7 linked regions of the Mus musculus genome follow. The protein of the gene in region 7 interacts with the protein of the main gene of each other region in a biochemical or structural test. Links are inferred from orthologs where the notes say so. Each region holds a gene or a part of one and is shown on either strand. Other genes may lie near its edges. The genes, in order: Plk3, Chek2, Mark3, Cdk2, Cdk1, Chek1 and Cdc25c.

Region 1 (2,809 bases), on a different chromosome or scaffold from region 7:
CTTTTCGCGCCGCAACTCACTGGCGGGACCCTTAGTGGGTCCTGGAGGTCGACGACCATCCCTGGGCCCAGTGCCCCCTCTAGGTTCACGAGTTAGTTTTTCTGGGCTGCCCCTGATGCTTCCCCGTAGGATGGCACCCTCATACCGCTTAGAACCGGCGCCTGGGGAACACTGGGAAGCTGCAGGTGCCCAGCGGGCCCTGGAGGCAGCACTGACCACACAGCTGAACGGTGTGTGCTACTGCGGTTCTGAGGCAGGGAAACTGGTGCAGGCACTATGTGAACAGATACACACCCGCGTGAGGGAGCTCAACCTACCCCGCTACAAACTCGTGTGCAACGTGGTGCTGGGGCCACGCGAGGGACAGGGTGTGCATGTGGTCAGCCGAGCACTCTGGGATGCGGTGCACGATGGACTGGCCTCTGCCACCTTCACCAACCCTTCTCTGTTTGCTGTGGCTACCGTCCACGCGGTCTACTGGGAATGATAAGGCCTTCAAGTTCTGAAAAAACGGTTTATTACCCCAGGAGGAGGCCCCCCTGGGGCTCACATCCCAATAAATAAATGTCTGTTAATAAATAAAAGTGGTCCATAAATAATGCCCCCTAGCTGGGAGCTAAGGCTCAGGCTTATCTCAGAGAGAAGGGTAAGATTCAGGGAGGGCAGGCCATCCCCGACTGTAGTAAAGCTGGTCCCTGATTCCCTGGGGGGATTCAGCCAGGAGCCCCCAGTGAGGCACCAAAGGGACAGGAAGGGCCACAAAGGCAAGGCCCTGAAGCCTTTCAGGCTCAGGCCCAGGATCTGGATCACAGCCCGCTCTCCGAGTTGGAACCTAAGCAGGGCTTTGGTCCCTGAGCAGGCGCAGAGCGTAGCGCAGTCGCTGCCGCAAGTCTGGGGAGCAGCCCAGCTGCCGGAGGTGGGAAGCGAGGTAAGTACAAGCACTGCGATTGCGGGCCACGAAGGTCACAAGGAGAGGCTCCCAGCCACTGAGGATCAGCTTCGTGTGGTCCCCGTAGAAGTTCACCTGTACACAGAAGATAACAGCGATCAGGACTTGGACACCAGATCCACATTCCTTCCCAGAACCCTGGGATACCAGACCTTCCACCAAAGCACAGGGTAGGCTCTTACCTGGACAGTGCCATCACTGAACAGCATGAGGAGGGCCTGGTCAGTCTTGACCCACTGCAGCAGCAAGGGTGGGGCAGGCACCTCCGCCTCTTCCACACTGGGCAGATCTCCACCCTGGGAGAAGAGGCAAGTCAGGCCCCTGGACTGGCATGAGCTGGGTCTCTCCCTATGGATGCCCCCTTCCCTTACAGGTTCAGCCACTAGCTTTTTTTTTTCCCTAAAAGCCACTAGCTTTTTAAATTAATTTATTTATTTTATGTATATATGAGTGCACTGTCACTGTCTTTAGACACACCAGAAAAGGACATCAGATCCCATTACAGAATTACAGATGGTTGTGAGCTACCATGTGGTTGCTGGGAATTGAACTCAGGATCTGAGGGGCAGCCAGTGCTCTTAACTGCTGAGCCATCTCTCCAGCCCCACTTTTTTTTTTTTACACAATTTATTTATTTTATGTATGTGAGTGCACTGTAGCTGTCTTCAGACACATCAAAAAGAAAGCATTGGATCCCATTACAGATGGTTGTGCACCATGTGGTTGCTGGGATTTGAACTCAGGACTTCCGGAAGTGAAGTCCATGCTCTTAGCCGCTGGGCCATCTCCCCAGCCCTCAGCCACTACCTTTGAGCCACCCCTGCCCCCTAAAGTGCCCCCACCGCAGCCTACACACCTTCATGAGGTGCTGTTCCATGTAGGACGCAAAATACCGCAGGATGCCCAGCTGAGGCTGCAGAGCTCGGGGCACAGAACCCATGGAGAAGGAGAAGTGCTTCGTGCTGGTGGGGTTGTAGTGCACCGTCCTGAAAGTGGGAACGTAGAGAGGAGGAGGAGGAACCCGGCACCACCATTCTTCCCCAGACCCCTAAGCACAGAAACACACACCACGGTGCAACCCTGCTGGTATTGTGGTACCCAGCAAGCCTAATTACAAAGCACGCCAAAACAGCACTTACTTCCTATTGGCTGACAGGGCCATGTGTGTGCCATCATTGAAGAGCACGGCTACACGGCGGCTGGACAGCTGATAGCCAAAGCCAAACTTGTTGGAGTAGTCAACCCACTTGCTGACCCACACCAGAGGCTCTGGCTGTGCCAGCGGGGCTGGGTTCTGTTCGGCTGTTAAGAGGAGAGGAGGGAAATGAAGACTCCCCCAACCCCCCTCCCCCCCACCGCCTCTGGACTTGCAAACTATTCATATGCACCAGAGTCCAGCCTTACCTGGGGGCATGAAGGCCACACAGTTTCTCAGTGCACAGAGGGCAGACTCTACCACTGTGGCCACAGTCAAACCTTCTTCAAACCCTGAAGGGAATAGGGCACTGACATTTAGGCAAGAGCCACCCTGGGCCCAGTTCACCCTCAGCCAACTACTTCCTTCAGCCCCTGGTCTCTACCTCAGCAGCCCCTAGCACCTCTCATCTTGTGGCTCCTCACCATCTCCACTGCTGGCCAGTGTCCCACGGGGCGAGCTGTCCTCGGCAGCTGTCTCTACCAAGCTGGCAGGGGCCTGGCCTGAAACTACAGGAGCCTGGACAGTTGGGGAGAGAGGGAATAAAATTAGGCCCCAAAATCCAAATCCTTGAAAGTCCAATGGCCCAGCCCTGTCCCTGGCGGCTCTCAGGGCACCCCAGGTCAGCCTCAGCTGGCTAATGAGACACAGCCAATTAGGCCACC
Region 2 (4,300 bases), on a different chromosome or scaffold from region 7:
TTAGCCTATGTTGGGTTCCCACTTTTGACCCTTTTCCTTCAGCCTACTGAACACTGGGATTTTAGACATAGGCTACTACACTAGGTTTGTTTTGTTCTTAATTGCTTTCGGTTTTTGAGACCTAGTCTCATGTAGCCCAGAGTCTCATCAAACGTACAGGCTCAGCTGTACCCTCTGAGTGCTGGACTCACAGGCATAACACCAACACACCTGGCTTGTTTTGTATTTATTTTCTCCGTTAAATAAATAATTTATTTGCGATGAGATGTTCCCTATTTGTGTGGTTGGCCTCCAAGTGGGGTATCATCTCCTACGGTTGTCTAGCATGCTTTTAATCCTGGCATTGGTGAGGCAGAGGGGGTTGGTGGAATTCCAGGCAGGCCAGGCGAGACTTCAAGGTGAGGCTAAATTAAAAAACAAACAAACAAACAAACAAAAACCTCTCCCAGTTCCTGTAAGTTTGGCCAATGGATTTTCCAGAAGTCTCAGCCCTCAAACCTCCCTATACCGTAAACTTGTCCGTTTCTGTTTGTTGATGTTTAAAAACAAGGTCCTTGTAGCTACTGCTAGTCTTGAATTCCTGAACCTGTGTTTTCCACTTTACAAGTGCTTAGATCACAGACAGGCATCTGCAACTTCACTCCTGTTTGACCCCCGCCTCCACCCTTATCTTCTCTCCAGTCTGTAACTTTATTTCCTCTCCGTCTCAGGAAAACTCCTAAAATCTCACTAGGTACTACTTATACCTATGGCCTACACTTATCCATCTTTGTAGTTGTTTTGAATCAGTCTCGGCAAATTGCCTAAGATGGCTTTGAACTGTGGTCCTCAGCCTCAGACCCCCCCAAGCTGGCTGGAAATTACAGCCCCGCAGACGCGGCCCCAAGCCTAGATCGCTCGGGTTACGAAGCCCGAGCTGCTTTCCCGTCACGACGCGCCGCCCGTACCAGTTCATGAGGCTGAAGTAGTCACGAGTGGGGTCAGGAGGCTGCAGAGCGCGGCAGTGTGAGCAGAAGAACTCATCCCCACACCCGACTTCCCTTGCGTGACCGCAGTTCCAGCACTGCGGTGCAATGCTCTTCCCCGCGGCGGCATTGCTGCCCAAAAGTCTCCTTCCCAGGAACCCTGCCAGCCGCACCTCCCACACACCCAGCAGGGCACGGGCTCCGCATCCCCACATTGGGACGGCCGCTCGCTGACCTAGGTAGCAAGACCCGAGGGAAAGGAGGAAAGACCGTCTCGCTGCTGATTGGTTAAGGGAGTCGAGGAGGCGGGATTAGCCGCGGGAAACCAAGACGTCGAGTCCCGTTCTGCATGTTAAACTACAACTCCCAGCAAGCCTTGAGACTAATCGCGGCAGTCATCTTCGGGCTTTCTTACTGGTCCTGCCGGGGAGGAAGGCTTTTTGATTGGTTGAGGGTGGAGTTTGTATCCGTAGGTTTAGCGCCACTCCACTGGCGGAGGCTGTGCAGTGTTTGCGGCTCCTGGTGGTCTCACGCGGTGAGTCATAAGTGGGAAACTTTAAGTGTTTGAGGAGTCGAATACCGTTCTCATGCTTCTTGTGCAAATGGGCCCTCTGCAGCTTCCGCTTTGTCTGCTTTCTTGTGCGAGCGAGGGGGCGCTGTGCATAGTCAATTCTTCCTTTTTATCTGCCCTTGGGGCGCGCGGGGGGGAAGCGGGGGGGAAGTTCACTTTCCTTGTTCCTTGTGAGCTGAAACAGGTCTGGGCACATAGGAAGGCACAACGCCGGGCTGTTCGTTGCCAGAGCGAAGTAGTTTTCATAACGAACATTATAAATGTTCATGCCAGCCCCTAGATGGCTTTCCCCAAATACCTACTGAGAACCCGATCTTCGCTGCTAGGCTCTGCAGGAACTGAAGAGGGTACGTCTGCATACTCAGCATACGTGAGGGGTAGGATGGCAAGGAATGGATAGGAGACAACCAAGCCATTCTCAGCTTCTGTACATGAAGGAAGATGGTGTAATGCTTTGTAAGTGGCCTCTGGAATTCTATTCATAATCCTGGGATTTTGCTATGGTCACTTTTTTTTCTCCCCACTCATGAATGGGCCTGTCTTTCATTTTGAGGTGGTCATAATGTGCCCGTTCCTTTAAATTTCTTTATGTATTTTTTTTAATCACGTGTCTAAGTCTGTGCAGTGCGCACGGGGGCCAATAGAGGGCATTGTATCACCAAGAGCTGGAATTACAGGTGTTTGTGATCTTTTGGATGTGGGTGCTGGGAACTGTACTCTTGACTCCTTAACTGTCTTCATTTTGTATGTTTGACAATACTGGGAGTGGGATCCAGTACTTTGCTTCTGTTGGAGAAGTGATGAACCATCTACCATTGAGTTATAGCAGCCACATGACTAATTTTGGGTAGAGATTTACTTTACTTTTAATTATGTTATCTGTGTGGGAAAGTGCAAGTGTGAGCTCTGGTGATTGCAGAGGCCAAGATCCACTACAGAGCCACTGACTTTGGAGTTATAGGAAACCTCGAGCTGCCAGATTTGGTGCTGAGAACGTAGGGAAACTTGGGTTCTGCAAGAATAGTATGTGCACTTTCCTGCCGAGTCCTCTCCTGCTCCCTCCCCTTCTCCACTCTCGAATCCAGAGCCTTGTTCCTTATTGTTGGACTCTTGTTTTCGAGGTCGGATATGAAGAGTCATCATCAGTCCCACAGCAGCACCTCCTCGAAGGCTCATGACAGTGCTTCCTGTTCACAGTCCCAGGGTGGCTTCAGCCAGCCCCAAGGCACTCCTTCTCAGTTGCACGAGCTCTCACAGTATCAGGGTTCGTCCAGCTCCTCTACCGGCACAGTGCCGTCCTCCAGCCAGTCCTCGCACTCCAGTTCTGGGACTCTGAGCTCGCTGGAGACAGTGTCTACCCAGGAACTCTGTTCTATTCCTGAGGACCAAGAACCTGAAGAACCTGGTCCTGCCCCTTGGGCTCGGCTATGGGCTCTTCAGGATGGATTCTCCAATCTAGGTAAGGCACTTTGTTATATGATATAGTGTGTGTTCAGAGAAACAGTTAAAGAAGGTGGTTAGGAAAAAAAAAAAGAAGGTGGTTAGGTTGTTGCAGCAGAAGTCTCAGGGCCCCTGTGGTAGAGTTTATCTCCTCCTGGTGGCCCTGTTCATACTGAAGATCAGATTTAGGCCTTACACATAGTAGAGAGCTCTTACATTGAACTACATCCAAGGTCCTATCCCTGGCTACCTTATTTTTATTTTTAAATAGAATCTTGCTAAATTTCATAGGCTAGCCTCAAATTTTTCTTTTTTCTTCAGAAAAAAGATTCTATTGTAGCCTGAGTTAGCCTTGAACTCACTATGTAGCTCAGCCTGGCTGTGAACTTTTGATCTTCCTGCCTCTACTTCCTAAGTGCTGGGTTTATAGGCACACATTTTTATCAGGCTCTACTAGTTTGTTTGTGAGACAAGGAATTCTGCAGCCCAGGTGGGCTTGGAACTCACAGTGTAGTTCCTTGGGGCCTTGAACTTGCATTGATCTTGTCTCAGTTGGGATTACACATATCGACCATATGTGGTTCAAATTTATTCATTTGAATGTGGAGACCTAGCTCATTCTGAGACAGTTTTGAAAGATACTTGTATTAGTCAGGGTTCTCTAGAGGAACAGAACTGATAGAATGAGTATGTATGTATGTATATATAGGGACTAATTAGAGTGGCTTACATGCTATGGTCCAGCTAATTCAACAATGGCTACCCAGGGGAGGTGTAAGAATCCAGTAAGAATCCAGGCAGGATGTCTTAGTTGGTCTTTAGTATACATTACTATCTTGTAGAAGTATGCTCTAGGGGGTTGGAGAGATGGCTCAGTGGTTAAGAGCACTGACTGCTCTTCCAAAGGTCCTGAGTTCAAATCCCAGCAACCATGGTGGCTTGCAACCATCTGTAATGAGATCTGACACCCTCTTTTGGGGTATCTGAAGACAACTACCATGTATTTACATATAATAAATTAAAAAAAAAGTATGCTCACTAGTGCTCAGTGAAGGAATGAACTTGCCAGTAAGAGCGAGATCAAACTGGCAAAGCTTCCTTTTTTCATGCCCATTATATAGGCTGCCAGCAGAAGGTGTGGTCCAGCTTAAAGGTGGATCTTCCCACCTCAAGAGATCTGGATTAGCCCAGATGTGGTAGTAAAAGGAAGCAGAGGCAAAGTGAGCTCTGAGTTTGAGGGTAGCCTGGGAGTTCCAGGATTGCTAGGGCTACACAGAGGGACTCTGTCTCAGAAAAACAAAACAAAACAAAACAAAAAAACCCC
Region 3 (3,500 bases), on a different chromosome or scaffold from region 7:
TTCACTAGTATTTCAAGGACTGCAAAGACAGACTGACTCTGTGCCCCTAGAGTCTGAGGAGGAGACTACGCTGGCACTGGCCACCTGCACCTGGGAGCAGGCTGTTGACCTTTCCCTGCGCTCTCATTCTGGGTGTGGCTCCTGACCTCAGGCTCCCACCTGCTTCTCTTTCTCTCTAAGCTGTTAGTGTTAGCATCCCCTAGTCAACATGGTCAGGAAATGCTATCGGTCCTTCAGAAACTCCCTGCTTTGACCCTAACTCCTCCTTGTCACAACTGCTGATTATAGGGGTAGAGGCTCTGGACAAAGAGAGAAATCTGGAGTCCTAATATCTTGCTAGAAACTAACATTTAAAGTTTACTTACCTTAAAAGAATAATTGGTAGCCATTTGAATTATAAATTGATTATAAAAGTGAGAAGTAACACACTTTAACTTCTTTTGGGAGAAAACTCTTTTTGCCAATAGGTAAATTTCACACCTGTTTTCTTTGCCGTTCTGAATCACAGAATGTCTGTCTGCTGCACATCTCTCGCTGCAAACGTAAGTGTTCCGCCGTGTCATCCCACCAGATGCTGTGTTACTCTGTAAGAAAGGAGCATTTTTACTTTGGACTATTTGGTGATAAGTATAATTTAGTAAGAACCACCCTCTTCCCCCACCAGAAAAAAAACCCCAAAAAACAAAAAAATATACTAAACACTATTTATGCAAATAAAAAAAAACCTGTAAGAGAGGTGCTGTCTGTGCCTGGAGGGTAGAGATTGGTGTCTGCTTTGTTTCTGAATTATTCTCTACTGACTGAGGAGGTACCTGAACTCAGAACTCTCAGACTGAGGCTGGAGTATTTAGCCAGCTTTTCCAAGGGACATCCTGTCTCTGCCTTTACAGTATTGAGACTATAGGCAAGTGGCCACACCCATCTGGGTTTTATGTGGGTGCTGAGGCCCTGAACTCTGGTACTCACACTTGGGTGGCAGGCAATTTATTCATTAAATCATTTTACAAGACTAACATAGTCGTTTATAAACAAACAAACAAACAAACAGACAAATAAAAAAGTGTCCATGCACACATATGTGTGTTCGTGAGGATGCCAGAAGAGGGCACTGGATCCTCTAGAGCTAGAACTATGGGTGGTGGTGAGCTTCACACCCATAGGTATTGTAGGTATTGGGAACTAAACTTTGGTCCCTTGCAAGAACGGAAAGCACTCTTAGCCAATGAGCCGTCATTCCAGTCTCCTTAAAATTAAAACATGACAACACATTAACAGACGAGCATAGAATAAGTATGAACAACAACAACAAAAAAGTATAAAGGACCAGGACTAAAGAGAGCTCAGCAGTTAAGAGCACTCACTAGCTGCTCTTCCAGAGGAAATGATGAAAAGACTGCTGGTCATTAAGTAAATGCAATTCCAAACCATAAGCTATTACTGCAAACCTGCTACGGATGGCTACAATAAAAAATGAAAATATAAGGACCTTAAGGGCAAGGCACTTTCTGAGAAGGACCCAAGTTCAGATGCAAGCAGCCCAGAACGCATGTAGTAGAACGCATGGAGTGAGTGTGCATTTGCAAGCACATCCTGGGGGCATAGATGGAGTCAGTGGATGCCTCAGACTTGCTGGCCAACCAATCAAGCTGAGTTCTAGGTTTAGCAAGACACCGTGCTGTGTCAAACACAAGTTGGAGAGTAACCTCTGACCTTCACATGTACACTCGTGTGCACCCGGGAATACATACATGTATATATACCACACATGATAAACACAGAAGTGTGGATAGGAGTCAGAAGGATAACTCATTTACTGCTGAAAAGAATTGAAAACAAACAGTTGGCAGTTCCTCAAAGTTAGATCTAATTACAACACAAGCCAACAATTGCATCCCTAGTTAGGAACCCAGGAGAAATGAAAACCTAAAACCCAGCCTTAGTGTCACAGCTGTCATTCCAGCACTTCTGAGGCTGAGGAAGGAGAACTGCTAAGAGTTCAAGGCTACCCTGGACTACATAGTGAGACCCCATTTTGGTTCAACGTCTAGGACCCACAGGTAGAAAGAAACATCTTTCCAAAGCTGTCTTCCGACCTCTCTAGGCATGAGGATGTCTGACCTAATCAGTGAGCGTCAGGGGCAGAGGTTCCTCCTCCTTCCACTGTCAACCTCGGTCCTTCATCCTCATCCACACAGGCAAGTGTATGCACAAGCATACACCGCACACAGACACACAGAACAGAGAACTCTAGGCCACAGACATTTTATACAAATATTTACACTGTCACTCTTTATGTCTAACAGGTAGAAACAATCTAAACGGCTATCATCAGATGGTAACATTTCATTCCTCCTAAAGCTTGAGTGCTAGTCCATTGCATATACGGACTACAATTCATTGGATTGTACACTGTGGCTGTCTCAGACACACCAGAAGAGGGCATCAGATACCATGACAGACGGCTGTGAGCCACCATATAGTGGTTACTAGGAATTGAACTCAGGACCCCTGCAAGAGCAGTCTGTGCCCTAAACCACTGAACCATCTCTCCAGTCCTTGAAGTTTGTGTGTGTGTGTGTGTGTGTGTGTGTTTTGCCTACATGCAAGTCTGTGCACCACGTGTGTAAAGTGCCTATGGTGATCAGAGAGGGTATTAGATCTCCTGGAACTGGAGTTACAGGAAGCTTTGAGCCACCACCATCTGTATGATGGGAAGAATTGAACCTGTGTCTTCTGGATAAGAAACAAGTGCTCTTAAGCTCTGAGATAACTCTCTAGCCCCAATTTATGTTATTTTTAATTATGTGTCTACTTATGAGTACAAGTACTGGCAGATGTCACAGGTAGTCGGTACACATGGAACCAGAGTTACAGATGGTTGTTATTCACCTGAGGGGTGCTGGCAACCACATTCTGGTCTTCGGCAAAGACTCTTCAAACTACTGACCCATTTCTCCAGTCCCTTCACCTTGAACTCCTTGATCATCCTGCCTATACCTTCCAAGCACAATGATTAGGGTTATCCACCACCACACCTAGTTTATGTGATGCCAAAAACTCAACTCGGGACTCTCCCATGCTATGTAAACACTATCAACTGAGCTTTATTTTCGTTTTTGTTTTTTTTTTTTTGGTTTTTGTTTTTGGTTTTTCAAGACAGGGTTTCTCTGTGTAGCTCTGGCTGTCCTGGAACTCACTCTGTAGACCAGGCTGGCCTCGAACTCAGAAATCCACCTGTCTCTGCCCCGCAAGTGCTGGGATTAATTAAAGGCGTGCCTGGCTGAACTTCATTTTCTTATTTATTTATTTAAGTAAGATATGTAAATACACTGTAGCTGTCTTTAGACACTCCAGAAGATGGCATCAGATTTCGTTACAGATGGTTGTGAGCCACCATGTGGTTGCTGGGATTTGAACTCAGGACCTTTGGAAGAGCAGTCGGCTCTCTTAACCGCTGAGCCATCTCACCAGCCCCCTGAACTTCATTTTCAACACCAACC
Region 4 (2,306 bases), on a different chromosome or scaffold from region 7:
AATTCATACAAGGTTGCCTGGACAGATACTAGGCCAGGAAAACTGGTTGCTGTATTGTCTAAATATCTCAGATTTTCCAGGAAGGTCCCAAATCTGGGGATTTAGTATTACACTACTGGATAGACAGATGGCTTAATAGTTAGGAGCATATAATCTTGCAGATGACCTGAGTTAAGTTTCCAGAGCCCGTGTCTGGCAGTTTGCAGTCACCCCTAACTCCAGCTCCAAGGCATCAGACACTTTCTTCTGGCTTCTGAGGGCACTGCACAGTTGTGGACACCTACATAGACGTGCATATATGCACGTTATTGGAATAAAAAAATAATAAATCCCCCCCCCCCCTTTTTTTTTTTTTAAGCTTTTCGAGACAGGATTTCTCTGCGTAGCCCTGGCTGTCCTGGAACTCACCCTGTAGACCAGGCTGACCTTGAACTCAGAAATCCGCTTGCCTGCGTCTGCCTCCCAAGTGCTGGGATGAAAGGCGTGTGCCACCACTGCCTGGCAATAAAACCCTTTTTAAAAAGAAGCTGAAGGTAGCAGGGTTTTGTTGAACTGAGGTATGTGACCCTGCCTGCCTTGTAAGCCCTGTTGTCTTCTTGTTCCCCAGGTGGTGACCCTGTGGTACCGAGCACCTGAAATTCTTCTGGGCTGCAAGTACTACTCCACAGCCGTGGATATCTGGAGCCTGGGCTGCATCTTTGCTGAAATGGTATGGAGGCTTGCCAGGTTCTATGCTGCCCACCCATGCCCACATCCAAGAGCAAAACCTTTCTGGAAAAGGGTTTTCCGGGAATCATGGACCTTTTATCACAGGGTTCTCTCAAGTATCACCACTATGGAGGTGGTTGCCCCGATACCAACTACAATTTTGGAATATTCGTAAACACAAGTTATCTAATATATATATATATATCTTATCCCCTGAGTGAGCTCAATCCATTCTGTTACCTATTCCGCCATTTTGTTTTTTGTTCTGTTTTTGAGATACTCTCATTCTGTAGCCCAGACTGGCTTTGTATTCTTGATCCTTTGCTTCGGCTCCACTTTCCACCATTACCATCTCGCCCATGGGACTGACTTGACAGGCATGAGCCACCCTGCTGGCTCCACTCATTCAGCTGTTTCAGCCTTAATCCTCAAATATTTGGAAGAATGAATTCCATTTAGTACAACAGGTGGCCTACAGACCACGTGCTTCCAATGATAGCTGTGAACGTGGTCTCAACACAAAGTCATAAACTTATTTAAAACAGAGTGGGTTTTGTTTTGTGAGTGATAGGGTTTTGTTTTGTTTTGTTGCTTTTGATTGGTTTGGGTTGGTTTGCTTGTTTGGTTTGTTTGTTTTTGTTTTTACAAGACAAGGTTTCTCTGTGTAGCCCTGGCTGTCCTGGAACTTATTTCGTAGACCAGGCTGGCCTCAAACTGAAAGATCTACCTGCCTCTGCCTTCCAAGGGCTGAGTTAAATTAGGTGTGCGCCCAGCTTTGGTTTTTTAACATTTGATTTAATAGTATTTGAGCTTGAACATTGTGGATGAGAATGTCATGTCACAGTGTCAAGGGTTGGGCAGGTCTGTTTTGTTCCCTTTTGTCCTATAGACCTCTTATTCGAAACAAGGAATTTAGTAAAGGCAAGTGGTCTAACTGACCCATGCCTATTGGTTTTGTAGACTTGGTCATGCCCTGCCCCTCAACCTCTGGCTTTTCAGACTGAAGGATCCCTTAAGCCTAGCCTCATATGGGAGCTCCCATTCCATTTAATACAACAATGGGTAGACAGATGAGAAATATTTTTATGGTCCTTTGGGTTGAAACTGGGGACTTGGAGACCATTAGCCTAGATATAGGTATACATATAGAATGTGAATTTATCCACCAGTACCTTACAATTGCCCATATTCCTCTCTCAATTCATCAAAAAAATATTTGTTAAGCACCTAGTGTGTACCCAGCACCATGCTAAGTGCTGTGGGGAACACAGAAGAAATGGAAGACACAGTCTCTGCCCGCTGTGCTCCTATCTAGAAGTGGCTGCATCACAAGGAGGGGGGATGACCGCAGTGTCTGCCCCACACCCCGTGAGTGGCTTGGGATCCCTTTGCTATGCGTCAGGGGCACCCCAGACAGTCACCCCCTCCCAGCCCCACCCAGCCTCGGGAATCTATGAAGCCACGGTTGGGGGAAGGAAGGAGGGGCGAGGAGACAGATAAGGGACTTCATTGTCTCAAGCTCTGTATGACCGACCCCATGATAAGCCCTGGGGAGGGGAGTCATGGGCCCTGCTGCCCTTTCACTGCCTATGGGAACC
Region 5 (3,500 bases), on a different chromosome or scaffold from region 7:
GATGACTCAGTGGGCTTTATTTCCAAACCATGTATATGTTAGATCGTAGTTATCTTCAATGCCTTTTTGAAAGCAGTGAGGGTTTAATGATGTGAGGGGCCTATCTGACTGCAGCTGGCATTTCTCTCGTGTGATACTCAAAGAGTTCAACTTAGAAGAAAATCTCTTTGCTTTCTTTCAGGTACTTACGGTGTGGTGTATAAGGGTAGACACAGAGTCACTGGCCAGATAGTGGCCATGAAGAAGATCAGACTTGAAAGCGAGGAAGAAGGAGTGCCCAGTACTGCAATTCGGGAAATCTCTCTATTAAAAGAACTTCGACATCCAAATATAGTCAGGTGTGCTGTGTTAGAACTGAAGCCACTCTCCCTGTGCTGCTGCACATCTGTTTTAAAGTAGAAATTTTTATGTACTTTCTGGTTCAAGTGGGATGGAGTCCTGCTTTGCTGATGGTGTTTGGAGAATTTGAGACAGGGTGCTAGAATTGGCTAGAGGAGCAAGGCACAGCCCTGGGACCCCTTCCATGGGGAGCTTGCTTAGCTCCTACTTTTAGGGCCCAGGTCCCCAGAGGCTCCTGAGACCAGGGGCCAGGCTGAGGTAGATAAGCTATGCTTTATTGACTTGCTTGGGCTGGGTCATTGAGGACGTTGTCTGGTGGTTCATTAGAATTTCTGTTGGTAGGAGGGACTGAACCCAGGCCTTTGGGTAGAGCTAAGAAAGTGCTCTACCACTGAGCTGTAGCCTCTGGCCTCCTAATATGGGGTTTTGAAATTATTAAGACAGGATATTACTCTAGCTCACCCAGGTTGGCCTGGAATTTACTGCTGTCCTCTAGCTCCCAAGTGCCGGGATTATGGGTTTAAACCACCGCACCCAGTCTCCAGCACTCACAGAATTACCCAGGGTGACCTTGTGCTCACTCCATCCTTTGCATCTAGAGATCCTTGCCTTACTTAGCACCTCTGGTAGCTGGCGTGACCTGCCTCTGCCCCTGGGTTCTAACTGTTGTTGCACTGGGGCTGGCACTAGGGAGCAGCTTTAATCTTCTCGAGCAGCCAGCTTTAGGAGTGCAGGCGGTGTGAGCTAGCTCCTCCTGCAGAGGAGGCTGTGGACTACTGTCCTGAACTTCCGTCCTCAAGTTCTACTTGAGAGTGAAGGTCACTGTTAGCAGTTATGCTGTTGGAAGTGGAGGCAGGCTGCTGGCTGGACTCACGCTTGCTCTGCTCAGCCTGCAGGATGTGCTCATGCAGGACTCCAGGCTGTATCTCATCTTTGAGTTCCTGTCCATGGACCTCAAGAAGTACCTGGACTCCATCCCTCCTGGGCAGTTCATGGATTCTTCACTCGTTAAGGTAAAGAGTTGCGTGCTTTTACTAATACGCTCTCTGAACGTGGGCTCCATCCTTGCGTTTTGTGGCTGCATCTTAGAAAACCTGTAAGGGAAGAGACAGCATTTTATTTTCCTTCCTTCCACCGGATGAGATCATCATCTGCCTGTCTCATTTCCAGAAGGTTCTAGAAGTGAGAAGTAGCGTCTGAGCACCTAAGTGCTACCCTGTGGCTTATGTATCACATTGCTGGGGGCAGGCCAGGCTACAGTGGTTATGTGCAGATCAGCGACAGCAGCCTGAGCCCGGTGCTGATGCTAAGTGGTCTTACTCTGACAAGTAGGCTTTGGTTAATGTAAACATTGTATTTCAGTTAAATTATAATTGTATTTATTGTTCTTTGTGTGTGGTACCGGGTATTGGATCCAGGGCATTGTGTATAATTGGGCAAGTGTTATTCTCAGCAAATGGGTATAGGTTGTAAATGTCTATGGTAAAGGGGTCTTCACCTTAAACCGGCTTTATTTTTCCACTGAACTCTGTGCATGCCTTGAGATGTTCACGTTGACTTTGTATGCATCTAAACCCAGTGGGATCCTTCTGTATGTGCACTGCACACGTTAGTTAGCCTCTCATGTCTCTGTTTCGTAGTGGTTTAATACTTTGTACAGCTAGTAAACCATTTCCACTTAGATTACTTCCTACTTTAGTGATGGCTGCAGTGAGTCGTCATGAGTGGTGGTGGAGGTTCATTCTGCAGCCCAGGCTGGCCTTGAACTCTCATCCTCAAGCCGCCATCTCCCAAGTGTGGGCATTATAAGCATGTGCCACCACACCCACCACTTTATGTCATTTTAGAGGTGGCTTCTTGGAACTGTGATAAAATCTGTGTTTATATTTAAGATCATGGTTGATAGGTCCTCTAAAAATCAATTACTATTTTATTACATTGTTACCAAGACTTGACTGTATGTAACTTTTAAATAGTCTCAGTGTATTATGGGAAGGGTTTTATTACAGTTATTCTATTTGACATTTAACATACTATTGTGTTTACTCATTTTTGCATAACCTGTACATATTCACTCATCTTTCTGTATTTCAGTGGTTTCAAAAGTCATTATTACTAACACACGGTGACTTGCTAGTGGTGCCCACCACTGCCAGTGCTCACACTGTATGGCTATTGCTGAGATGAAGGCTATGGCCTCAGCAAGCAACTTGAGGAGGAAAGTGGCCGTTTGGCTTACACTTGCATGTAACTGCTCATCACCCCAGGAAGTCAGGACAGGAGCTCCTGGCCAGGAACTTGGGGGCAGGAGCTGATTCAGAGGCTGTGGAGAGCCCAGGGCCACCAGTCCAGGGATGGCACCACCCATGATGAGCTGGGCCCTCTCCCAGCGATTACTAATTAAGAAAATGCCTTACAAGCTTGCTTACAACCTGTACTTAAGGAGGCATTTTCTCAGTTGAAGCTTCCTCTCCAATAACTCTAGCTTCTGTCAAGTTGACATAAAACTCTCCAGCAGAGTATTCTTAATGATTTTTTTGTTGTTTTGTTAAAGCCATAATGTATAAGATCAAATGTTTTAGAATAATGTCAATATTTTTCTGCTCTCTCCTATCTCCTAACTTTTCTTAAGTTATGGATAGGGAAAGATTCCTTTGGCTTTAGGATTGGAAGGCTTGGGGACATTTCAGAGGGAAAGTGCTTATGGCACAAGCACGAGGAGCTGAGCTCTGGTTCCCAGGCTCCACATGGAGGTGGTGAGGTGGTGGTGTGGCTCCACATGGAGGTGGTGAGGTGGTGTGGACATCTATAAGCCCAGAGGCTGAAGGACAGAGGCAGGGGCTGCGGGTGGGATGGCTCTGTTGTGTCCCAGGGCCATCCATTTTGATCAAAATGGTGAACTTCAGGTTTAATGAGAAATATCTGCCTGTCACTCGGGTACCTACATTGAAGAGTGCACATGTGTGGGCATGCACACACTAGAGAAGTAGGTTACGAACAAACTTTTACACATTCCCAGTTTAAGCTGTTTTACATATTTTCCTGTTGTCTCAAAAGAGGAAATGCACGTGTAAAGTGACAGAAATGGAAAAGCACAGCTTTATTCAGGATAGAAACAGTTGACACGAGTGCTGAGGAAACTTCTGCACAGAAAGCTAACA
Region 6 (3,500 bases), on a different chromosome or scaffold from region 7:
TCTTTGCTAAGTTGAGTATAAATGACGATGCCTTTTACTTTTTCTTCTTTTCCATATACATAGTTTTATTTTGTATTAATTATTTTACTTATTTACATCTCAAGTGTTGCCCCTTCCCTGTACCCCCTTGAAGAGTTCTTCCTCCCTTCCCCCCTCCCCCTCCCCTCTGAGAGGGTTCTTCCTCCGTTATCCCTCCACCCTGGGGCATCAAGTCTCTACAGGACTAGGCACATCCTCTCCTACTGAGGCAGCCCTACAAGGCAGCAACATATGTGCTGGAGGGGGTGGGGGTGGGGGTGGGGGTTCAGACCAGCCTATGACATACATAGATTTCTTTTGCTCATTTTCAGGTAGAAAAGTTCTATAAGCCCTAAGCAAAACCAGTGTTACTTCCAGTAATTTATATATGTGTATATATATTTGCAAATCTTTTACTCCAAAGTTGTCTCTTTTTCTTTTGGTTTAGATAACCTCAAAATCTCTGACTTTGGCTTGGCAACGGTATTTCGGCATAATAATCGTGAACGCTTACTGAACAAGATGTGTGGGACTTTACCTTATGTTGCTCCGGAGCTTCTAAAGAGAAAAGAATTTCATGCAGAACCAGTTGATGTTTGGTCCTGTGGAATAGTACTTACTGCAATGTTGGCTGGAGGTAAGGATATATAATCATGAGAAAACTTCTTTTCTCCAAAAAGTCAGATTTCTCATACCAAAATAATAAAGATTAAATAACCCTAGGGAATCTTAATTCTGTAATAGAAAAGGTTGTGAGCCCAGCCTTTAATCGTGGTGCATCTTTCCAGCTCTTTAATAGTTTTATGTTAGTGTTTAACTCATCGCCTAGGGCGATAGGTACTAAGTACCGTTCGGTGAGTGTGTTATATACAGATTTATTTCATATAGAACTTGAAGGCTTGAAGTCTGGGTGGTGAAGTTGCCAGCATGGTCATTTTCTGAGGGCCCTCTCTCTTCCTGCCTTACAGTTGACCACCTTACTGAGAGGAGAGACAGACTCTTTAGTGTCTTCATAAGGACCCAAATCCCACTTTTGAGGGCTTTCATACTCATGACCCAGTCACCCCACAAAGGCCCCACCTCCAGAATCATCACACTGGGAATGGGAGTGAGTGATCTGGCTGCAAACAGTGATCTTGGTTTGATTTGGTTGATTTGCCTGGTGAGGCTGATGTGGGCTCAGTTGAAGAGGACAACTTTTCCTGGATAGAAGAGGGTTAGCCTTCGGTGTATTGAGTAGCTTTGATTCCCTGCTAGATCCTCCAAATAAGCTCTCACATTCATTATCTTGGGGGTTGAGATTTTGGTATAAACTGTAGTGGGAAATAAACTTTTAACCCATTATACTTTATATCTTATTCTTAACTACCTTGAAACTTATAACCCAGAGGTTTATTTTCATGAAGTATAACCATTAAATTAAAAAATCTCAACACTTCCTTTGGGGTTGTTGGAGATTAAACCCAGGGCCCAATACCTGACAGGCAAGAATTCTGTCACTAAGTTGTATCTCCATCTTTAATATGATACCTTTGAAAAGAGTAAGTTTCTATGAAACTTAGCATGAAAACCATATTGAATTACTGTGGAGAAAAATTGTATTCTTTTTATGTTGTTCATTTTCCTTTTATGTGCTTATTTTTCTTGACATATTTGTTACGTAACTTTATGAACACTCAAAAACTGTAACTTGTTTTATTTTTAGAATTGCCGTGGGACCAGCCCAGTGATAGCTGTCAGGAATATTCTGATTGGAAAGAAAAAAAAACCTATCTCAATCCTTGGAAAAAAATTGATTCTGCTCCTCTGGGTAACTAACTGGGTTGTTTGAAAGTATTGATCCTGTGGGTAATAGTGTCATGGTAGTTGATTTTTTTCTTAACTCTCTCCCCCCCTTCTCCTTCTTTTCTTCCTCCTCCTCCTTCTTTTCTGACTTTTTTCTTCCTTCTTCTTCTCTGTAGTCCTTTTAACTACCTTAGAAAATGTAAGTCAAGAGGGAGGAAGGGAGGAAAGGAGGGAGGGAACAACTCTATAATTGTGGCATTTGGAAATACACTTTTAAAAATATTTTTAAAAAATCTATATATCAAATGTATACTGTATGTATATTAGTTATAAGTATATGCTTTTGCAAAAGGTAAATCCTATTTCATAACTCTTTAGTTGTGATGCTCAGCATTTTTCCACATCTTTAATTATGGGCCTGGATCATATTTTTAAAGACTGATGGTACTCATTATGTGGATATATTTTACTCTTTCAATTTAGAGATTTAGGTTTCTCCTTAATTTTACTTTTATAGAAGAAGTATGATAAGTGTCCATGTTACTTGATGCTTGTGTATCCTTTATTTGATTAAAGTTTTTTCTTCTCCCACAAGCAAGACTGGAGGGCTAAGAGACTATGTATTTCCCCTTTTAAGTGTTGCCCCTTATTTTACAAATTTACTTTTTAAATTTGTACCATTTTGTCATTTATTCATGTTACTTTTTTGCTGTATTTTGAAACACTGGGTTTCATTGTATCCTTGGGTGGTCTGGAACTTACTATGTAGATCAGGCTGGCATGGAACTTACTATATATATAATCGACCAGGCTGACTTTCATATTCAGAGATATTGGTCTGCCTCTGCCTAGTGAATACTGGCATTAAGTACACCACTATGCATGGCAAAAATGAATTTTTTAAACCAATAAGACTGTTTTTTAAAGCTTTTTAAATTTTGCTCTGTTTGAGCAAAGAAGTTTATAGTTTTTCTTAATCCTTTGAGGGTCTTTTCATAACGCATTAATGTATATAACGTTTGTTGCAGTATTTCCTAGAGTTTATTATTTAATTTTGCTGGCTATTTTAATGTGCAGATGTTTTGAGTTTTTCATACCTAAATTCTTGTCATTTTTGGCTTTTGACTTACATTGTCATGCTTATTAGAAAGGTCTTTTCTACTCTTTTTTTTTTTTTTTTTTTTTTTTTTGTAAAATTATTTGCATTCTCATTTGGTGTTTCTGTGGGTTAATTTTTATGTTTGATTGTTGTTGGCTTTGATTTTGAAACGGTCTTGTTTAGCCCAGGCTGACCCTGAGCTCAGTTGTGTAGGAGAGGATGATTTTGGTTTTCCAGACTCCACCTTCAGATGCTAGCACGCTTGTCTGTTTTGGGAGACAAGGTCTGTGTTGGCCCATGCTGGCCTGAATCTCAGGCTGGACCTGACTGTGGCAATCCTTCTGAAAGCTGGGACTAAAAGCTGAGTCACTTTTCATTCCTGGTTTAAAAGAATTGATTTATGTATGATTTTTGTTTTTTAAATGTAGGAGTGCTCTTCTGTATGTACACCTACATTGCCAGAAGAGGGCATCAGATCCCTTTATAGGTGGTTCTGAGCTTAACTGCCGAGCCATCTCACCACCCCCCTGGATTATGTTTTTGATGTTGTGATGTTGGGGATTGTACGAGTTCCTTTTAAAATTAATATATATTTCCT
Region 7 (3,500 bases):
TATTTTCTTTATTCATATGAGGTAACAAAAGTGCTTATTAAGAACAGCTATTGCAAAGATTAGATAAAAATGAGAGGCTGGCCTATATGAGACATTGTCTCAAACAAAACAAAACACCACCCAAACCAAAAATAAAAACATACTCCAAACAGACCCAGGTAACATGGTTTACATTTGTAATCTCAGGACTCAGATGGGAGAGGCATGAGAGTCAGAAGGTCAAGGCCAGCCTTAGGTACATAAAAAGCCTGAGGCCAGCCTGGGCTGTGTGAGACCCTATCTTAATACCACCTCCCACCTCTATCCCCACCCTACCCCCCCTCCCCCCAAAAAAAAAGAAGAAAAACAAAACATGTATCTAGCTCATACGAAACATTTTGTTTGTTGTTACAACCACTGTGGAGTCTCTCCTGGAGATTCTAAAATAGTTAGCTAGTGGGTATACAGAGAGTAAAAACTGATTTGAATGCAACTCTTTCAAACCTTAAATAGCCTATTTTGTACACACTAGGTAGAAATTTGAGAGGGAAGAAGAAATTAAAAAAAAAAAAAAAAGTAAGCCAGGAGTGGGGGGTGCCCTTTGGTGGTAGAATGTTTACCTGGCTTGTACAAGGCTCTAGGTTCCATCCCTAGCACTAAAATTTGAACAGAAGACAAACTCCCATTTGGTGCATGTTTATCTTGTATAGTTATGCTAGTGAATTGAGGGCCTTCCCCCCAGGACACCACTAAGTCTTGGATATCTAGTACCCTGAATATTGTTAGAAGATACATAGAATCGCAAAGACTAGGGCCCCTTGAACAGAAGAAACTGGGGTGCCCCAACCACTGAAGAACCAAACTGAGTATGGGGATTAGCTGATTAGTGCTTGTTTTTGTTTACTCTTCAGGGATTTTCACCAGGACCTTATGAAAGGTATCCCAGTAAGTAGACCTCCATCCCTTTCCCTCCCTCCCTCCTCTGCTCCCTCCCTCCTTTCCTCCCTCCCTCCATCCCTCTCTTCCTTTCTCTTTGTCTTTCTGTTAAGAGAGGGCCTCTTAACTGTGTTTAGCTACCTGGGCTGGTGCAGCCGTTGAACACTGAGACGGAAGCCATGTGCCACCAAGCCTAGATTTTCCTTCCTGACTTTGGTTTGTCTCTCAGGTGGATGGCAGAGGGTTCCACACAGCCGTGTGGCTGTAGCTGTTGGATGCTTTCTGTAGACATGTCTGTCTTTTAGGTACAGCTTCTTTGTAGTACTCCGAATGCTATGAATCATGGCCACAGAAAGAAGATTGCAAAGCGTAGCACATCTGCACATAAAGAAAATGTGAGTGTTACTTCCTAAACTGGGAACTGTCAGCTCTGTTCAGTTTGTTGGTTTAGATCTCAAGTTGCTGCTGCTATCCTGAAAATAACTGTTTGGAGAGCATCACAAACAGTGTGTGAGTGTAGGTTCCTGTAATGGACTGCTGGAAGTCAGTTTTTGCCTTTTCACATGGGTCCAGGGCTGGAATTCAGGACTTTAGGCTTCTTTCCCAGCAAGCACTGTTTACCACTGAACGCTAGCCCTAAATAATTTTACTTTGTAAGAACATACATAACATAATTTGTTCATAAATTCTTTGTGGGTTTTTTTTTTTTTTTTTTTTTTTTTTTTTTGCACTTTTATTGCTAAGGATTGGGTGTAGTCATTGTTCAAACAGCTCTTTCATGTCATTGAGCTATACCCCTGCCTTGTCTTGGATTCCTGAGGATGGAGCAGTATACAGCCCTAGTGCATGCCAGGCAAGCAGCAGCCTACAGCTCACTTTTTGTGTGCTGTTTTTAAGATAGAGTCCATGGGACTGGAGAGATGGCACAGCGGTTAAGAGCACTGGCTGCTCTTCTAGAAGACCTGGGTTCAATTCCCAGCAACCACATGGGAACTCAAAACTGTCTATAATTCACAACCTCACATAGACATACTTGCGGGCAAAACACCAATTTACATTAAGTAACAATAAATAAATTAAAGAAAAAAAATACAGGGTCCAGTTATGCAGGCTTTCCAAGTAGCTAGGATTACAGACCTGCACCAGTAGGCTAAACTTTCGTCTTTCATTCTTTCGGTATTAGGGATTGCATGAAAGGCCTCAGGTATCCTGAGCAAACACTCTGTCACTGGACAATTACATTCAGTGTCTGGCCTCCTTTGGCCTTTTTTTTTCTTTGAGACAGAATTTCATTAAGTTATGACCTTGAACTTGAGGTCCCATGTCAGTCTCTTAGGTGGGATTAACTGTGCACTACTAGCAGGCTCATATTAATTTTTTCTGATTTCTCCTTAGATAAACTCTTGAGGACACTATGGTCCTTTTTATATAAGCCTTACTGACCACTTACTACGATGATTCTTTAATCCGTCCATCTACACTGCTTTTCTAGCCGTCTTCTGTGTCTTCCATCCCTTCAGCTAGATCGGTGTACATGCTAAAGTGGCTATTCTAGTCTCTTTTCTTTCAGATTCATTTGTTTTTATTTTATGGGCGTGAGTGTTTTGCCTGTGTGTGTGTGTGTGTGCACCACATTAGTGCAGTGCCCACAGAGCTGGAAGGGTGGTTAGATTTTCTGCAACTGGAGTTGCAGGTGGTTCTTGGCCACCATGTGGGTGCTGAGAATTGAACCTGAGTCCTCTCTAAGTGCTCTTAACCACGGAGCCCTATCTCTAGTCCCCACTATGCTTTTATTCTTTCCTTATACTAGAGAAGATATGCCTGGTTTTAGGTGTTTATAATCATCTTTTGAAAATTACTACTACCTCTGCCCCTTAATTTTTTTTTCTGTATTTATTTATTATGTGTGTATGTGTGTCTGTGTCTGTGTCTGTGTCTGTGTATCTGTGTGTGTGTTTGTGTGCTCATGTGCCCGTAGAGGTCAAAGGACAACTTATAGAAGTCAGTTTGTTCCTTCTGTTTCTTAGGCCGCCTCAGTTCCAGGGCTCGAACACAAATTGTCAGGCCTTGCGCTGAGTACCTTTGCTAGCTGAGTCATCTTTCTATTCCTATTATTGCCGTTTTAATCTCCCCTTGTAAATCACTCTTTAAAATCTCACAGTCCAGGACTACAGAGGTGGTTCAGTGGTTAAAAGCACTTACTGCTTTTCCAGAGTTGCCAACACCCACATGGCAGCTCCACACCCATCTCATCTGTAAGTCCAGTTCCAGGGGATCGAGTGCCTTCTGGCCTCTGCAGGTACCAGGGGCACGTGTAACACACATATCTATGCAGACAAAACACTCATATACATAAATTAAATACACTTTAAAAATAATAAATACCTACAAATAAAATTGCAGATCCCTTCCCAAGCAAGCTTTCTTTCATCCCCTGTCCTTTTGCTTATGATGATAAAATCCTCCAAAGCAAATCTGTGTGTCAGACATCAAATCCACAGCATTATCTGTATCTTCAGATATGATTTAGTGATTACGTTTCTGTGTTTCAGGAGAGTTATTCATAGTTTGATCAGACGTGATAT

What was found.
Region 1: of the proteins of Cdc25c (region 7) and Plk3, one has a biochemical effect on the other in vitro, tested with the Homo sapiens proteins (2 studies listed by BioGRID, with this or other methods). The link is inferred for Mus musculus from reciprocal best matches to the Homo sapiens genes CDC25C and PLK3.
Region 2: of the proteins of Cdc25c (region 7) and Chek2, one has a biochemical effect on the other in vitro, tested with the Homo sapiens proteins (14 studies listed by BioGRID). The link is inferred for Mus musculus from reciprocal best matches to the Homo sapiens genes CDC25C and CHEK2.
Region 3: of the proteins of Cdc25c (region 7) and Mark3, one has a biochemical effect on the other in vitro, tested with the Homo sapiens proteins (3 studies listed by BioGRID, with this or other methods). The link is inferred for Mus musculus from reciprocal best matches to the Homo sapiens genes CDC25C and MARK3.
Region 4: of the proteins of Cdc25c (region 7) and Cdk2, one has a biochemical effect on the other in vitro, tested with the Homo sapiens proteins (3 studies listed by BioGRID). The link is inferred for Mus musculus from reciprocal best matches to the Homo sapiens genes CDC25C and CDK2.
Region 5: the proteins of Cdc25c (region 7) and Cdk1 form a complex in vitro, tested with the Homo sapiens proteins (3 studies listed by BioGRID, with this or other methods). The link is inferred for Mus musculus from reciprocal best matches to the Homo sapiens genes CDC25C and CDK1.
Region 6: of the proteins of Cdc25c (region 7) and Chek1, one has a biochemical effect on the other in vitro, tested with the Homo sapiens proteins (16 studies listed by BioGRID and IntAct, with this or other methods). The link is inferred for Mus musculus from reciprocal best matches to the Homo sapiens genes CDC25C and CHEK1.

What each region holds. Positions count from the first base shown.
Region 1 is NC_000070.6:117,128,155-117,130,963, forward strand, and holds the end of Plk3 (serine/threonine-protein kinase PLK3), read right to left. Parts: intron 2,664-2,809; coding exon 2,570-2,663; intron 2,438-2,569; coding exon 2,354-2,437; intron 2,252-2,353; coding exon 2,089-2,251; intron 1,936-2,088; coding exon 1,806-1,935; intron 1,246-1,805; coding exon 1,132-1,245; intron 1,025-1,131; coding exon 833-1,024; 3' UTR 501-832; downstream 1-500. Other genes in the region: Tctex1d4 (tctex1 domain-containing protein 4), read left to right, coding at 1-487. UniProt on the Homo sapiens protein: Serine/threonine-protein kinase involved in cell cycle regulation, response to stress and Golgi disassembly. Polo-like kinases act by binding and phosphorylating proteins that are already phosphorylated on a specific motif recognized by the POLO box domains.
Region 2 is NC_000071.6:110,838,549-110,842,848, forward strand, and holds the start of Chek2 (serine/threonine-protein kinase Chk2), read left to right. Parts: upstream 1-1,500; intron 1,501-1,862; exon of another isoform or gene 1,863-1,992; intron 1,993-2,657; 5' UTR 2,658-2,664; coding exon 2,665-2,995; intron 2,996-4,300. Other genes in the region: iron-sulfur cluster co-chaperone protein HscB isoform 1 precursor, read right to left, coding at 948-1,180. UniProt on the Homo sapiens protein: Serine/threonine-protein kinase which is required for checkpoint-mediated cell cycle arrest, activation of DNA repair and apoptosis in response to the presence of DNA double-strand breaks.
Region 3 is NC_000078.6:111,637,021-111,640,520, reverse strand, and holds part of Mark3 (MAP/microtubule affinity-regulating kinase 3), read right to left. Parts: intron 585-3,500; coding exon 481-584; intron 1-480. UniProt on the Homo sapiens protein: Serine/threonine-protein kinase. Involved in the specific phosphorylation of microtubule-associated proteins for MAP2 and MAP4. Phosphorylates the microtubule-associated protein MAPT/TAU. Phosphorylates CDC25C on 'Ser-216'.
Region 4 is NC_000076.6:128,699,746-128,702,051, reverse strand, and holds part of Cdk2 (cyclin-dependent kinase 2), read left to right. Parts: intron 1-607; coding exon 608-709; intron 710-1,932; coding exon 1,933-2,076; intron 2,077-2,306. UniProt on the Homo sapiens protein: Serine/threonine-protein kinase involved in the control of the cell cycle; essential for meiosis, but dispensable for mitosis. Phosphorylates CABLES1, CTNNB1, CDK2AP2, ERCC6, NBN, USP37, p53/TP53, NPM1, CDK7, RB1, BRCA2, MYC, NPAT, EZH2.
Region 5 is NC_000076.6:69,342,913-69,346,412, reverse strand, and holds part of Cdk1 (cyclin-dependent kinase 1), read left to right. Parts: intron 1-181; coding exon 182-338; intron 339-1,228; coding exon 1,229-1,352; intron 1,353-3,500. UniProt on the Homo sapiens protein: Plays a key role in the control of the eukaryotic cell cycle by modulating the centrosome cycle as well as mitotic onset; promotes G2-M transition via association with multiple interphase cyclins.
Region 6 is NC_000075.6:36,716,659-36,720,158, reverse strand, and holds part of Chek1 (serine/threonine-protein kinase Chk1), read left to right. Parts: intron 1-466; coding exon 467-655; intron 656-1,723; coding exon 1,724-1,828; intron 1,829-3,500. UniProt on the Homo sapiens protein: Serine/threonine-protein kinase which is required for checkpoint-mediated cell cycle arrest and activation of DNA repair in response to the presence of DNA damage or unreplicated DNA.
Region 7 is NC_000084.6:34,745,034-34,748,533, reverse strand, and holds part of Cdc25c (M-phase inducer phosphatase 3), read left to right. Parts: intron 1-890; coding exon 891-924; intron 925-1,220; coding exon 1,221-1,310; intron 1,311-3,500. UniProt on the Homo sapiens protein: Functions as a dosage-dependent inducer in mitotic control. Tyrosine protein phosphatase required for progression of the cell cycle. When phosphorylated, highly effective in activating G2 cells into prophase.